Mytilus edulis: one gene and its partner. The protein of the gene in region 1 interacts with the protein of each later gene in a pairwise test. Links are inferred from orthologs where the notes say so. Each region holds a gene or a part of one and is shown in the gene's direction. Other genes may lie near its edges.

Region 1 (8,889 bases):
TTTACAAATAGCCTCAATGGTTCGTTGTTAATACGCTAAATCTTCTTTTGGCATTGAGAATCACAACAAGAAATCTCCAAAGAATCTCATCAGCCCAGTCATACTCTCTTGATCATGGCCATCAACCCAACAATACTTTCTTGAGCTTGGCTCTAGCTGTATCCTCGTCATCTGTGTCCGTGTCACTGTTCGTTACATATGGCGAGGTTCGACACTGTGGTGAGCACAAATACTGAAGTAACGGCAGTCTGTACTTTCCACAGAAGTCAACAAATTTCACATTTTCCACTCGTGAAGCAAAATATACACCTAAAGTAAAAAGATAACAATATATAATATTAAAACTTACAAGTAAATGATAATATATGTAGTTCAAGTATCAAATAATTTATATGAAAAAATTAAGTAAACACATTTCCTTGTATTAACATGTATATATATATACATGTATATATATGTTTCACATGATCTATTAAGGTTTAACTGTGGTTAGTTGCTCCCTAGAAATAATTTTAAGACTCAAAATGATTTAAATGTTGTCATACATGTATTATGGTATGGCGTCTTGTTTCTCGTCGTTGAATAATGTACATGTGTGTTGACCAATAGATGTTCATTTTGATTGTTGTGTTGCTGTTTCCTTGATATTCATCCAATATTTCTCAAATTAATTAAACGCATCACGATAATTTCTGACTTTACAGTATTATAAACAAATCCTTAAATAAAATTTTGTTGTATAAATTCTTTACCTTTGCATTCAGGATTAACACATCTCCGACAGGAATCAAGATAATTGAGTAGGTTTTTTGGCAGATCTTCCTGGTCATATTTTACTTTTTCAATCTTAACAACTCTAGCAGAAAGTTCTAGCAGAGAAGGCACTTCATAGGTTAAATCTTGAACGAATTTAACAACTAATGGATTGTTTCTTAGACTTAATTCTATTAAATTAAGTGCTACGATTTCTGAAGGAAGGGTAGATAATTTGTTGTTGTGAAGACTCAAGGACTTCAAACGATGAAGGTTGACTAAGGTAGGTGGAAGACTTTGGAGTTGGTTATCACACAGGACTAGTGATGTCAGGTTATATAGTTGTCCTATCTCGGCTGGAATGTCTGTAAGTCTGTTTCCACCCATATAAAGGATTTCTAATCTGAAAAATAAATAAATTTGAATACCAGACAATACACTGGTTGTTCAAACATTTTTCTTTCAGTTATGCAAGGCATAATTGAAAACTTTCATGTCAGAATTATACAAAATACAATGCATATTTAAACAAGAATGTGTCCCAAGTACACGGATGCCCCATCCGCACTATCATTTTCTATGTTCTGTGGACTGAAAATGGGGTAAAATCTCTAACTTGGCATTAAAATTAGAAAGATAATATTATAGGGAACATGTTTACTAAGTTTCAAGTTGATTAGACTTCATCAAAAACTACCTCAACCAAAATCTTTAACCTGTAGTGGGACAGACAGAGGCACAGACCAGAAAACATAATGCCCATAAATGGGGCATAAATATAAATTGATGTAGACGTGCTTTAATAGTTTAAGTGCATACATATATTTTGTTGTGAGGGTTGCTTTTAAAATTACAATTCACAGCACTTCTTTCCTAGTTGATAATTACACAGAATGAGACTTCTTATATTTTTTTTAACCATGTTACATTGTAACTTGCAATCCACCAATTACCATTTTTGTATGGTACTTTGTATAAAACTGTCATAGACTATCATGACTATTGTAAAGTGGTCCATTTTTAAAATTCAAAATTTGTAAGGCCAAATTCCTTGTTCTCATTAAGATTTACAGTTGTATTTTCCTGTGCCTAAATCTGATGTTCTTAAAAGATTTCAAATTTACATACTTGTAAGAGTTAGACATGTAAGAAGATTTTTCCTGATAATTTTTAAACCATGAAAATTATGCAAAAATAATTCCCTTAAAAAAAATACCTAATAATAGTATACTATTACTGTAGCTACATGTAAATGAACATGTACAACTTAATAATCTATACATACATGACATACATGCATGACATAAGCAACAAGATACATGTAAGTGTAACTAATCATGCATGACAATCATGACAATGGAAAAATGTGTTAGGGTGATCAACTGCATGTATTTATCAATCTTTATAATTTGTGTAGTCTTACAAAATTTATCTGTTCCACTTTTTCTTTTGATCATGGGAGTCATGTCATAATTATATATATATAATGTGTCTGTTGTCTTTGGGTTATTGGTTTTTTATTATTGAACTTTGAGTATCTGCTTACATGTAAGTCCCCTTTAACATGTTTAACTTAATAAGTAAGTTGTAATTTAGGATTTGTTTATTGAACATTAAATTTTTGAATTTGATTGTTTTCTTGACATGCCTGAGCCCCTGTTGTGGTCATTGAGAAAAAAAACTTAAAAATTTGTTTAGAAAGAATGAAAAATGTTATATAAGTTAAAAAAACTGGAAAAAATGGAAAGTTTTCTCTTCCACCAACATGACCAAGTTTAATTTGTTATGAGATTACACTTGTATGTTGCTTTAAGTACAGTTAGGTGGTAATTACAAAAGATATACATGTACATGTAATACAAGGTTATCTCATGATGTATAGATATAATACTCAATTGCACGTGTATCTTTACATGTACTCCTAATACAAGGTTATCTCATTTATCTCTGATAATATATATATACTCAATTGCATGTGTATCCTAGCTTACATACAGTGTATACACTCATTCACACAATATATTTTCAGCATAGAATTAAATTTCTACTTAACATGCTAAATACGATAAAGGGTGTATATCAATATCATTTTCTGAACCAGTCAGTCCAAAGATGCATTAAAATAGTATCAGCTGTGCCTGTTTATCAGCTTTTTATAGCAAAGTCAGATGAAAGTTTCAATATACATGTTCTGTAATTTTTATTCGATTTAACCCTAAATCAAGGCATTGCTATTTCATTTTTTGTATTTTCTTCTCACTGTTTAATGACTGCCCCGGCCCATTGTCAAAAATTAAGATTCCCTTAATACATTTCTAAAATGATAACTAATTGTTTTGTCATGTTATTTCATATATTTACCATGTTTACCATGTTAGGAACTCAAACAAGCCCCCAAATGCATGAAATGAGGCCATTATGAGGGACGAATCTGGTAAATGATAATCAATGTAAATAGTCTAATTTGGTCATGTTGGTATGTCACATTCGTTAATCAGATGCTCCGCAGGGCACAGCTTTATACGACCGCAGAGGTTGAACCCTGAACAGTTGGGGCAAGTATGGACACAACATTCAAGCTGGATACAGCTCTGAATTTGGATTGTGATTAAATAGTTGACACAGCATAGGTTTCTGACACAGAATAAATGTGGGTGGTCTAATGAACTTAAATTTTTTAATTTTTTTTGCTTTTGAGCAATTCACTATGCTCCTCTTAAAAAAAAAATATTTGAAGAAATTTTCTTTTTAATTTCTGAAATCTGAAATGAAAAATTGACCCCCCCCCCCCCAATTTTTTTTCACCTCCCCCTTTCCCTTACTCCAAAAATGATCTCAATTCAAATTTGCTAATGGAGTTTGCAACAATACATGTAACTACTCATTTAAATGCATCATAAAGTATTAAAATATAAAATGTCATACAGTCATGGTTAAAATTAATATTAATTAATAATAACTTATATAAAAATAAATGGGGAATGTGTCCAAAGGGACACAGATGATGCCCCAGCTAGCATATAATGTTATAAAGGGACATAACTCAAGAACTGTAAAAGTGAAGCTGCCAAAAATTGAACTTATTTAAAACTGAGTTTAGAGGTACATGTAATAAGCATTATATACACATTTCATTAAATTTAGTTGAGACAAACTTATGTTAAGAGAACAGAAACGAAAAAAATCTTCAATTTTTCCATTTGTAAAGGGGCATAACCCTAGAATGGTAATCAAAGTGCTTGTAATCACTGAATGGTAAAGATTACTTTAATATATCAGTTGGTAGTAAAAGTGAATATTGCATTGTATATTGTATAATATAGCATTGATTTAATTTGATTCAACTATTATTCTGGACAAAGAAAGATAAATCCAATTTTCAAAGAAGATTTCATAAAGCATTGGTTTTAGGTAATTCAACAATCATTCTGGACAAAGAAAGATAACTCCAATTTATTGTCTTGAAACTACAAAAATGCTTGTTTTTGGCACTTTATTCCTAGACTGTTTGCCCTGTAACCCTTTAAATATATCCCAACCTTCTACTTACAGTATTAAACATTGTGGTATAATTTCAGAACAATTGAAATACTTCTACTTGTACACAACTTATTGTCCTGACACTAGATAAATGCTTGTTTTGGGCCCCTAATTCCTAAACCTTTGGGACCATAACCCCCAAAATCAATTCCAAACTTCCTTTAGTGGTTATAAACATTACTCATTTATGTTAAAATTTTATTGATTTCTATTTACGTATACTAAAGTTATTATCCGGAAACCATCCGTCTTCGGACGACGCCGAGGACGTGATACCAATATACGACCGCAAAAATTTTTGCGGTCGTATAAAAAGGATCGGATAGTCATATTACAATGAGGGGTCAATTATTCCTCATTTGAGGGGTTGTTCCCAATCTGTTTACCATGTTTACCCCAGGTCTGCTTCATTCATGATCCACATCGACACTTTCAATTACAGAATATTGTACTTTAAACATCAATCTTTAAAACTCAACGTGTTAAAAAAAGCACACAAAGTACTATAATGACTATAAAGTATACTCGTTAATTTGTTTTTACCTAGACATATGCCTAATCAACGATGTAATTGATGAGATGGCATTGCCACCTAAGTATAATGCTTTCAATCGAGGTAGTTCAGTAAACTGTGGAGGTAACTCTGTAAATGAATTGGCAGAAAAGTTCAGCACCTCTAGAGATCGTAGTTTACTAAAATCCTTTGGTATAGTTTTACATTCTAAGTTGTTGTTCTTGGCTATCAAAGTTCTTAATTGTTTTAAATAAACCACAGCATCATCTAGTTTGTGACAGTTGTTGTTACTTATATCCAAAGTGATCAGGTTAGCAAACACATTTATAGACTTAGGTAACACTTCTATATTGTTATGGTGTAGGCATAATGCTCTGATCGACTTCGAACGATCGAATAAATATTCTGGTATGGCTGTTAGGTCACCATATGACAAATCCTCAGCTCCATCACTTAAATATTCATTCTCAGAACAAGAAGTTGTTTCAGACAAATATTCAGCCATTTAATCAATTATGATCTTTAGTCATGAAATATATTCCATATTCTGTATCTCTCTTTACTGTAAGTGGCAACGCACATGACACGAAAGTGACGAGTGATGTTTGTTCTAAATTGTGTCACCTGGTACAGGCTATTATTCAATGGTTCAACATTTAGGAAAATAACAGAGGTGAAGGTCGTTATAAGCTTTGTCCATTTCAAGACCGATTCCTCCTTTGAGTTTATAGATTATTGTTTAAAAAAATAAAGACTTATTTGAAATTAGGTTATTACTCGAATTTTGAAAGAAACACATTTAGGGGAAAATAAATGAAATATTTTTTTACGATAACGTAAGGGATATTTATTTTTTACAAGTACATCAGGGGGAAAAGGCGTGATGGAGGGTGATGAGAGTAAACATTCGAAAGAAGCTATTGAAGAGACCAGTTTAACCAATACAAAGAAAGAAATCAAACAGAATATACAAACCGATAAGCAGGATGAAGAATTAGATTCATTGTTAGACAGTATGAGTCATCGATTAACAGAAATTATACCAATACACAAGATATTTTTATTGAGCTAATCAAGACTGGTGCAAGAGGGTGGATATATTTGTGTACCCCACATGATTATTAACGATAACATTTTATTTAATATAGAGTTAACACTACATAGTAAATTCCATTTATAGCTAACATCACTCTAAATATTTAAAACAATAATCAGGAATGATGATAATAGTTTAAGGCTCGGAGATCATTCTGTATACCTTATCGCTATTTGTCGCCATTACTGGATATCACACATGTTCCCATGGAATTTTGACATCATAAAACAAAATATCTGACGCCACAATGGAAAAGTGATTGTTGTATTCGTCAAAAGTTCAAGCGGCCGGGATAAGCGATAAGGTGTATTAACCTTGCTAATTGTATCATGTGCATGAGGGTGGTAATAGGGGTCCTTTCATGACGATTAATGGTAAAAATTCTTGTCAGTAATGTTTGGCGCAAGATGATAAAATTTAAAACACTTTCCTTTAGACAGTAAAAAAATAACGGCTGATTTTGTCAAATCACGCTAATTTTTGTCCTAAAATGATGGTAAAGATAATTATTCGAAACCTTTTTCAAATCACGATAAGAAGATTTTAACAAATCACTGAAATTTTAACCAATTTGACTCGAACGGTAGCTTAAAATAACAGTTTAACGTCTGACGGTAAAGGGCATTCCTACCCTTGTATATATTATAGTATATTGAAAAGAAGGTGTTTAATGATCTCTATTGCTTGGTTATGAAGACCACGCCTAACCTCCATTAAGGGACCAGTAATTTTAATGAACAGAATAATTATTATTACCTTAATCAAAAGATTAAACTTGTTTAACACAACAAAAAATGGTTATCACAGTTATTAAATTTACTAATCAACAGTAATTGATTTGATGTCATTCCATTCCTATACCAAACTCAAGTTGTTTTTTATAGATGAGTTAAACAGGTAGACCCAAGGTAAAAGGTTGTTAACAAAGTCATTGAACATTTATTATGGGTTCTTACTGTGATGTATGAAATTGACAAAAAAGTGCACGATTCCGAAAATGGTTTTTGCCAATATGTGTTCTGTCCTTGGTTGTTCCAGGTACAAATCAATAGTTCTGTTCCAATATCATTTGTTCTGTGAAACAGGTTTATCCATTCAAATAACTTATTTGTACAAAATAATTATGACAACATTACATTTAAAATATAGATAATTACATTGTATGACATTATTATAATTGAAATTGTTTTGTAAAAGATAACATTATATACAGTTATAGTATAGTTATTATTTTTTCTTTTGAAGAATTCTTTTATTCATAAATAGGATTTTGCATTGTTTTCATACATGTCAAAGAATTTTCAACCTTTTCATTTGAAGTTGAATTCAATTATTACAACAACAAATATACAGTAATGCTAATTTTCTTCAACATATATTAATACAATGTACATGTATAAGAATACATGTATGTTATAGCCTACATTTTGAATTTTTGTTATCTACAAGTTTGCATTCTGTTGAAATATATTTTTTGTATAATAATTAATTTTATTTATAAATAGTGTATCCTATTCATTTTTAAATCAATCTTTAATTTTTTTTTAGGTGCTTTGAAAGATTTTGATGAAGTAAAGCCGAAAACAGCAACAAAAGAGGATCAGAGTAGTGCCAAGAATAATGATTCGGTAAGCTAAAAAACAGCTTTTTGTTATGTTATATCATTTGTATATATGTACCGGTAAAGTAAATGTACATGATATGCATGTTTTCTTTAGACTTGCTGACATCTCTTTCATGTCTATGCTGCAAATTTATGTCTTATCATAATCGACATTGTATGCCCACCATCGTATGCATCATTGAATGCACACCATCAATATTTGTGCATTGTATGCCCACCATCAATATCTGTACATTGTATGCCCACCATCAATATCTACACTGTATACCCACCATCAATATCTGTACATTGTATGCCCACCATCAATATCTACACTGTATACCCACCATCAATATCTGTACATTGTATGCCCACCATCAATATCTGTACATTGTATGCCCACCATCAATATCTACACTGTATACCCACAATCAATATCTGTGCATTGAATGCCAGCCATCAATATCTGTACATTGTATGCCCACCATCAATATCTGTACATTGTATGCCCACCATCAATATCTACATTTTATGCCCACCATCAATATCTGTACATTGTATGCCAACCATCAATATCTGTACATTGTATGCCCACCATCAATATCTGTACATTGTATGCCCACCATCAATATCTATACATTGTATGCCCACCATCAATATCTGTACATTGTATGCCAACCATCATTCAATATCTGTACATTGTATGCCCACCATCAATATCTGTACATTGAATGCCAGCCATCAATATCTATACATTGTATGCCCACCATCAATATCTATTCATTGTATGCCCATCAATATCTATTCATTGTATGCCCACCATTAATATCTGTACATTGTATGTCCAACAACAATACCTTTACATAATATGTCAAAGTCAATGAATTTGAAAGTGTACAGACATACAATACTTGCCTGTATTTCATGAATAATATACATGTAGGTCAAATGATCATGATGATAAATACACACACTATTTTGTTTTTTAGAAATCAAAAGTAAAAAGTTATGGGCTCAATAAATTGATATCTTTATACCATTTTGAAATAATCATGTGTTTCAGGCATCACAGAAATCAGAAGCATCAGGGGATCCTTTGTCGGACATGTTTGCTGATGAGTTCTCAGACGATATGGCAAAACAATTTGAAGAGGCCATGAAAAGTATGGTTGGTGAAGATCCTGAATTAGTTTCACAAATAGAAAAACTAGCAGCTGCTGCTGGCAGTGCAGGTATTGATTTATTATGTAAATTATAGTGACAAGTCTATTATTTAGACAACAAGGAGGGTGGGAAGGTGATAATGAAAAGACTGTATATGTTTTATACATATTTTAATGATTTGAGTTTTCCAATATCATATTAAGATGCTAACAAATTAAA
Region 2 (8,806 bases), on another chromosome or scaffold:
GGCGCAGCTTAGGGCACCCAGGGCGCGGCGCCCTTCTATTTTGGGCTAACGAGACCACTGAATTCCAATGCATAACTTCTTCCAAACAGGGCAAATCATTTATGATAACCTTTATTTACAATGTTAAAACTGGTACTGTTGCCATGTTCATGTTCACGTTTATACTTTACATTAAATTTGGGTCTTCGTCAATTGCCATACTATATTTGAGACGTTCCGTATTAAAGGACGTTTGCACTTCTTATATCATTATTACTTCTTTTCATGGACAAGAATAACAGTAGAGAGTAATGTTAATCAACAATTCGCTGAAGGCATGTTTACAAAATATTCAAACGAGTATTCAAATGAGCCAAAGACCAAAAAATTCAAATTTCACAAATTTAAAGTTGTTTAAAAAAAATTATATCATGAATGATGGTTAATTACATTTTTTGGGTATCAAATACAGTCTTCACGACGAGTGGCAGCCCAGGCAGCCCAGGCTGGTAAAATTGCTCTCGGGCCTGTAAAAATCAGACCTACAGGCCAACAGAATCTAACTAAAAAATTTCAAAAATTGAGCTGCGGGCCTGTAGATTTAGCAGTTCAGCGTGAAGACTGCAAATATACTGCATGCTGCTGTTATTACCATAGAAAACGCCTGAGACGTCTCAAAAATATATAGGCAGTGCTTGTATCATTGTCGGGAACACTACACTGTTTTGAACATACACATGGCGACACGAAACACAATCTGAAATCCATTTTATGATCATGTGATGATATCTAAACTTTTCAAAACAGTGTGCAAAATAATGGCGCCATGTGGGTGCTTACATTTGTCATTCTATGCACCTTTTTTGGTTGAAAAACGCAATTGGCGCACGTCCTTCCCAATCACTGGGTGAATAAATAAAGAGTAATGTAAGTTGGAGCTGTGAGATGTACATCTTTTCAGAAAAAGGGAGAAGGTTTGGATCCATTAAAACGTTTAATCCCGCTGCAAATGTTTGCACCTGTCCTAAGTCAGGAATCTGATGTACAGTAGTTGTCGTTTGTTTATGTAATATATACGTGTTTCTCGTTTCTCGTTTTGTTTATATAGATTAGACCGTTGGTTTTCCCGTTTGAATGGTTTTACACTAGTAATTTTGGGGCCCTTTATAGCTTGTTGTTCGGTGTGAGCTAAGGCTCCGTGTTGAAGGCCGTACTTTAACCTATAATGGTTTACTTTTTAAATTGTTATTTGTATGGAGAGTTGTCTCATTGGCACTCACACCACATCTTCCTATATCTATCTGTACATTGTACCAATAATATGGGGACGAAGTCCCCTATTACCATGATAACAGTAGAAAATTCAATAAAAAAAAAAAAAAAAAAAAAAATCCAGAAAATTTCCCTAATTTTTCATTGTACTAATGAACTCAAAATTGTTTAAAATTTTTTTTGTCGCATTTTTGAATTTCTGGATCTGCGCAGAATTGACCATATTTACCAGTCATTTGCTGACATCATAAATGCAACACAAAAAGAAATGATCCCATATAAAGAAATTAAACCAAGAAAACACCAAAAGCCATGCTGGTGGAGTAGCTCAGTAACATCTGCCAAAAAACACCTAAATCACTGCCAGAAACAATACAGAATGAGGAACATTCCACAAAACAAACAAAGACTCATCATTGCAGAATACAACTTTGACAAGGCAAAGGAAGATGCACAAGAAGAATGGAGTAATAACCTCGTAAACCAACTAAATCAGGCTAAAAACTCAAAAGACTTCTGGAACACGTACAAAAAGATGTCCAGGAAAACAGAAGATAACTCAGTACTCCCATTAATTGTTGAAAATAAAGATCCAATATTTGACAACAAAAGTAAAGTTGAACTTCTACAAAAAATTTTCTTTGGAGGTAGCCACCTAAAGGATGAGTCATTTGATAAAGAATTTTATGATAGTATCAACAAAGAATACAAAGAACTAAATAACATGTATCAGGCAACAAATGAAACAGATCAACATAGAGAAGGCTTTGATAGAGAAATAGACAAAGACGAGGTAGAAGCAGCTATATACCGCCTTCGCACGGGGACTGCCCCAGGACCAGATCAGCAGTTTGCTGAATTCTATAAGCATGCAGGTGACAAATTTACAGAAGCCTTAGTAACAATGATGAACATCATATGGCAAAAAGGGGAATTACCAACAGAATGGAAAATGGCAGATGTAAAATTTCTAAGAAAACCAGGAAAAACCAGCTATTACTCATCCTCTTCTTACAGACCAATCAGCCTAACTTGCATTATATGCAAACTAATGGAGAGAGTCATCCTAGAACGCATTGTGGCATATATTGAGGGTCACAGATTGATTGATTTAACTCAAGAAGGGTTCAGAAAGAATCACTCAACCACCAATGCTCTACTTCGGTTAGTCCAAACAATAGCTGATGGTTACAATGAGGATGAATCAACTCTTGCATGGCTAGTGGACCTTGAAAAGGCATATGACTCAATATGGCGTGAGGGGTTAATGATCAAGCTGCATAAACTTGGGATAAAGGGAAAAACCTGGTTATGGATAAACAGCTTTCTCACAAATCGAACAGCCAGATGTATGCTGAATAACTTCTTTGGAGAACAATTTGATACCAAAATCGGCTTGCCACAAGGGTCAGTACTATCACCCACCTTGTTTAACATATTCATAGCTGATATAATGGATAACACAAAAGGAGAAAATTGCAAGTTTGCAGATGATGGCACTCTATGGCATAAGGGGAAAGACATAAAGGAAATGAAAGAAAGAACTTCAGAGGATGTCAAAACTATTTTAAAATGGACAGAAAAATGGAGAATTAATGTAAACCTGGAAAAGTGTGAAGTATGCCTATTCTCAAAAGGCAACACAGATGCAGAGCAGAAAACATTAAAAGTCAACTCCTTCTCCTATAGATATAGTCCAACACCGAAGCTACTTGGAGTAACTCTAGACGAGAAGCTTAAATTTGACACCCACATCAATCTGATGCAGAAGAGGGCAAATAATGCAATATATGTAATTAGAGATATTAAGGGCATGGGAGGAATATCAAGATCAAAACTACTCCAAATATACAACAGCATGGTTAGATCTATCATGGAGTATGCATGCCCAGTCTGGCAAATAACATCTGCAGAGAATATGAAGAAATTAGAAGCTGTACAAAGAAAAGGCTTGTCAATATGCCTAGGACTACCAGGAACATCAGGTAGAGAGGCAATGGAAGTTGAAGCCAATATACAACCCATAGACCTCAGAATAGAGGAAATATCAGTACGTGAACTGGCAAAAATACAATCAAAGAACATAGCAGAACCAATTAAACAACAACTAGAACAGTATTTAACAAACAACGCAACCTATGAACAACAGGATTCTCCATTTGGTAAAGCTATAAACCAATCCATAGACATGTTCAAAGCCACGAAAGTTGACATCAAACTTATAGAACCAGAATTCACATACAAAGCTGGTGTAGATGTCATGCTAAGGAGATCACCAAGTTATTGGAGTCGTCTAGGTAGCTCAAAGAACAGAACAGCCGAACAAACTGTTGAAAGTAAACAGGTTGTAAAGGACCTATTAGGAGACAGCACAGACTCAACAGTAGTGGCATTCACTGATGGTTCATGTCAAGGTAACCCGGGACCATGTGGGGCAGGAGCAGTAGTATATTCTGGAAATAGCCAAGGCATAAGTCTAAAGAGGCCAGTAGCTAATAGAGGATCGATACTTCTTGCTGAACTAGTAGCCATACTAATGGTCCTGGAGCACTGTATAACGACTATAAAGGACCAGTTTTCTGAGCTTAAAATACTGTCAGATAGCCAGACTGCTGTAGGCATCTTGACTCTGAACTGGAAATCTTCTAACTACATCGACACAATTACTGATATCAAAGAATGCATGGGAACGTTCTTAAGACACGGCATACTAACAACCCTATCTTGGATCCCAGGCCATGCTAATATAGCCGGGAACGAGATAGCGGACCAGTTGGCAAAAGACGCTGCAAAAGAGGCCTCATCACTAAATGATCAGTATAATGTCATAACCATGTCAGATGTAAGATGTGCAGTCAAGATGTCTACAAAACTCAAATGGCAAAGCAGATGGACAATTAGTGAAACTGGAAGACAGCTTTTCAACCTAATTCCTATCGTTGGTAAGGACGCACAACTAGACAAGCCTAACAACCAAATAGGAAGAATATTGTCAGAAATAAGAACGGGCTACAGCAGACTTAACAAATACAGAAACCAAATCGGTCAATCCCTCACGCCATATTGTGAATGCGGAGAAGAAGAAACATCAGAACACTTCCTGCTATACTGCCCAAGATACCAACAAGAAAGAGAGGACATGCGAAGACAAATGGAACTACTTAACATCGATCCAACAAATATACAGTCAATACTAGCACCACCAAAAAGAGAAACCTACGAAGCAACATCGCAAATTGTAGGGGAATATATTACAAAATCAGGGAGATTCCAAGAACTTGCAATCCCTGATTCCCGATCCTGCGCCTAACAAGTATACCAAAGTACCGCGAGATATTACCTCGAGCAACGGTGTACCATAAGAGGAGGAAGATAGCACACAGAGAACAGTAGTGTCAATTATTGACCTTAGGATCAGGATCAGGAACGTTACCTGATGACAGCGTTTCTTTGTTTACATTGAATATGACGTCATAAATTAAATAACATCACACTTAAAATCCCTAACTACAGAACCAAAATCGGAAACGTTACGGTATTTCTGTTTCTCTTTTTAACATGTTTGATTTAAAAAAAATAACCATACAGACTTCGTCCCCATTCACAGGTAATGCCTGCCTCATATTACGAATTATTAGACACTATAAATGTTTAATTCAAAAAGAACACAGAGGTATTGAATCATAATAAGTAATATCTGTATCCATATTTCTCTCATTTTTACGATTTCTAATGGATTTGGCCTTTGCCGGCTTTGGGGGTGTGTCATGGTCTATTCCCAATGTATTTAATTCATTTTTTTCAATTCCACTATCACTTTGTAATGAAATTGGTGTTCACATATTAAAGTTTAACAAATATCTCATCAAACAATGATATATTTATGGATCTTAAGTGAAATTATAACATATTTTGAGCATTTTACCTGCCAAATATATTTATGTTGATGACAAGCCGGAAGTGACAGTGGAAGACTGAGAGCAGCAAGATAACATGAGATTGTTCTTTAAGAGCACTTTATGAAATACGACTAATTAATTGGAAAGATTTTAAAATACAACGCACTCAAACGTTATAAATGAAAACATAATATATTGAATTTTAAAGAATAATATCAACGAAAAATACAAAACATATGTACACAAATTTTTAAAGTTAATTTTTAGGTATGTTTTTTTTTCATGTGAGCATTTTGACCTTTTGGATCATTTTTAATTAAGTTCATTGTTGTGCGTTGTTGTTATTGATTTTATTTTTGTGTATTTAGTTATACTTCTAAAGACTCTAAACAGAAATAATCTGGCTAGACTCTAATAACCTAAAAGCTATTTATGACCATGACCTTTCTCAAAGTCCATGCTCCATACAAAACAAACTACAAATTTGCTTAAAGTTTCTTGATATTTATTGAAAAAAAAAGGGAGCTTAAAATACAAATACTTATTTAAGTTAATAGATCCCTGAAAAACAATGGCCGAAAGTGCAACGCACTTGACATCTGCTATATTCACTTCAAAACCGTCTATTTTTGAAGTTCTTGCCCAGGACAGTCTTATGAGCACAATAAGACCTGCTCTTAAACATGCCATAAAGGCAAGGAATAGTATAGATTTTCACATTGGGTTTAATTGAATGATACTCTTAGCTTAACTACAGATTTTGAATCTCAATACATGTACACCTTATCACTTATCCCGGCTGACCTGGCCGCTTGAACTTTTGACGTCATACACAATCACTTTTCCATTGTGGCGTGAGATATTTTGTTTTACGAAGTCAAAATTTATAGGGAACCTGTGTGATATCCAGAAATGACCGACAAATAGTGATAAGGTGTATAGGTGCAATTAGAGTCTTGAGAGCTAATTCTGTATTCTCCAGTACTGTTAACGAACGACTTAAAGTATCTACAATATATGTGTAAAAGAAGCAATTCCTTTAAGTCGTCTGTTAACATTACTTGAGAATTAAAAATGTTTTTTCTCGCAAGAATCATGCTCTCAAGACTCTGATTACACCTATTGAGATTCAAAATCTGTAGTTAATCAAGTTTAAGAATTGTCGTCTCCTTTTTTCTGAAAAAAAACTATGTCAATTCTTTCCCTCAGTTGAATTAAACAAAACTAATTTGTATAAATGAAATAAATAAACTTAACGGAAGTTAAGCATCACAATTGTCATGATTGTATGGTTTAGGTTCCAAAATCAAATTGAATATCTACATGTACCATCAATTCTAACTAAAAATAAATTCAAAATTTAAATATTTTGACATGGTTTAAGGCCATGAAGGCTACATTTGGTTTCCGATGGATTATTGTCTCATTAACAATCATTCCACTTCATATTTTTATATGTTTTTAAGAATTTAATCCAACAATAAAAGCAATATAAGCATACACATTTTTTATATCCAGATCTGATAGACTCGTGGAGGAAGTTATTGCCCCTAAAAGACATTTTTTTTGTGTTTTTGCAATTTCACAGTCTGATTCAGCCCAAAACACTGTACATTACCGCTGCATGCTGAAATAATCATGAGGGAAGCTGACATATATACTTAGTTAATTTAGCAATCAATAAAATGTTAATCAATACTGTAACAATAATTTTTAACAAATTTATTTTTAATGCTCAATTGCGCCCTGTGAAATTCTTTCCACTGACAATATTTATGTTTTTAATGAAGTATCTGTCTTATGCTTTGATCATGTCTTGAAATTATTTCATAGTTATTCATGTCCCCCTTGAGAACATGTTTTCTTTATACTGTATATATAATAATGAAATTATGTATCCTGTCAAAGAATAGACAAAGTTTCATTTACTTATTATTCATATATATTTGTCTTTTTAGGTTTTAGCAGAGACAAAGCCAGATAAATTTGCATGGATGCTGAGATTTTACGATGAAATATACACAATACTTGATCTAATTCTACAGAATTATTATTTACGTTCATACAGTAAGTCAAATAATTACTTTATTTTTGGATAAGTGGCACAATAATTGATGTAAAAAAAATATGAGAATTTTGTTTTCCTAAACTAAACCCATATATCCATACTTAATTAGATGACACAGTCAAGTCTGAACTTAAAAAATGAATTCAATTATATATATGTTATAAAAATTCTGCCAAAATAACACATAATTTCATATATATATATATATTAACTGTATACTTTTAAATGAAAGCTACTGCAAATATATGGTAAAGTATATATATCCATAACACCAACAAAACCTGCACTGAGACTAACTTTCATTTCAGCCATCATGTTCACAAGTCTTGAAACATTTAAATTAACGTAAAACTACTTTACTTTTTATTAAACATAGAGTTGACCATAGAATTTTATATTCATTCGCTTTAACAGCTATAACCCTATAACCCACATATGATTGTGTCTTCTAATTCTATTTCAGGTGGATCTTTTGCTGAAAACTTTTATGGTATTAAAAGAGTTGATTGTCAGAAGGATCAAAAACAGGAAGATACAAAACTTTCAAAACGTTGTCTAATTAAATCTATCTTATGCTTGGTAAGATTTTGTTGACAGTTAAAATAGGAAATATGTTTTTGTTAACTGTCATTTAAAGTAAAGATGTCATGGTTTTAAGTGTACAAAGAATTCTGTCTAATGGCTTTGTGTAAAATTTTGGATAGTAAGCATTAGATAATGATAATTTATAATACATTGCTTAAATGTGAGCTTTTTGTCATATGGTGCATGAAGTCAAGTTAATCTCATGTAAGATGAAATTACCTGAAAATCATTATCATGATTATGTACCCACAGAATTCTTTGTTCATGTAGGCATGATATTGCTTTAATATCAGAAACTATTGAGAACAATACAAATATGTTTCTGCCTTCCAGTAAAAAGCCTTATGAAATGAATAAGAATCAATTGATCTTTTTGTATTTGGATATCAGTCCAGTATTTATTTTGAAAATGGGAGATAACTCTATAATAAAAAAAGGCAGTTCTGAGTCAAGAATAGCAGACAATGTTTTGTGATGGAAACAGTATGAATAGTAGCTGCTCTTGCCACAACATAACACATATATCTTGACTTGGCTTTTAACCACTACCTTTTAGGAAAACAAGTTGCTTTAGACTACATTCCACCACATGAACAAAATTAATTAAACTTTGTGTACTTAGATGAGTAAGGTCTGCATGATTTTTTTTCTCTTTTTGAATTGTTATTATTTTTTGACAAGTTAGATATAAGATATACAAGTATCAGTATTTTAATGAAAATATTGCAATAATAACTCACTCTTTGTAGGTCATTTTGCCATATATAAAACATAAGTTGGACTTCATTTTTGAAGAATTGAGACACAAAATAAACACAGGAAGACTCAGTCAGGTAAATATGTAATTGTTTAATATTATATAGTTCACATAAAACCTGCTTGAATGAGAATTTTGCTATCCTTTTTTTAAAAACTACAAAAATAACATTAGTAAATTACAATCTGGTATAACATTAAGGCATTCATACTGTAAAAGACAAGAGGTAGCAAAGATCATGAGGTT

Evidence for each region.
Region 2: the proteins of peroxisomal biogenesis factor 19-like (region 1) and peroxisome assembly protein 12-like interact in a two-hybrid assay, tested with the Homo sapiens proteins (4 studies listed by BioGRID and IntAct, with this or other methods). The link is inferred for Mytilus edulis from reciprocal best matches to the Homo sapiens genes PEX19 and PEX12.

The regions. Positions count from the first base shown.
Region 1 is NC_092348.1:72,185,333-72,194,221, reverse strand, and holds the start of peroxisomal biogenesis factor 19-like, read left to right. Parts: upstream 1-5,459; 5' UTR 5,460-5,690; coding exon 5,691-5,820; intron 5,821-7,451; coding exon 7,452-7,531; intron 7,532-8,569; coding exon 8,570-8,738; intron 8,739-8,889. Other genes in the region: leucine-rich repeat-containing protein 58-like, read right to left, coding at 122-309, 753-1,156, 4,837-5,312. UniProt on the Homo sapiens protein: Necessary for early peroxisomal biogenesis. Acts both as a cytosolic chaperone and as an import receptor for peroxisomal membrane proteins (PMPs).
Region 2 is NC_092349.1:85,760,215-85,769,020, forward strand, and holds the start of peroxisome assembly protein 12-like, read left to right. Parts: upstream 1-5,571; 5' UTR 5,572-5,721; coding exon 5,722-5,844; intron 5,845-7,108; coding exon 7,109-7,217; intron 7,218-7,681; coding exon 7,682-7,797; intron 7,798-8,552; coding exon 8,553-8,636; intron 8,637-8,806. Other genes in the region: uncharacterized protein, read left to right, coding at 1,631-4,561. UniProt on the Homo sapiens protein: Component of a retrotranslocation channel required for peroxisome organization by mediating export of the PEX5 receptor from peroxisomes to the cytosol, thereby promoting PEX5 recycling.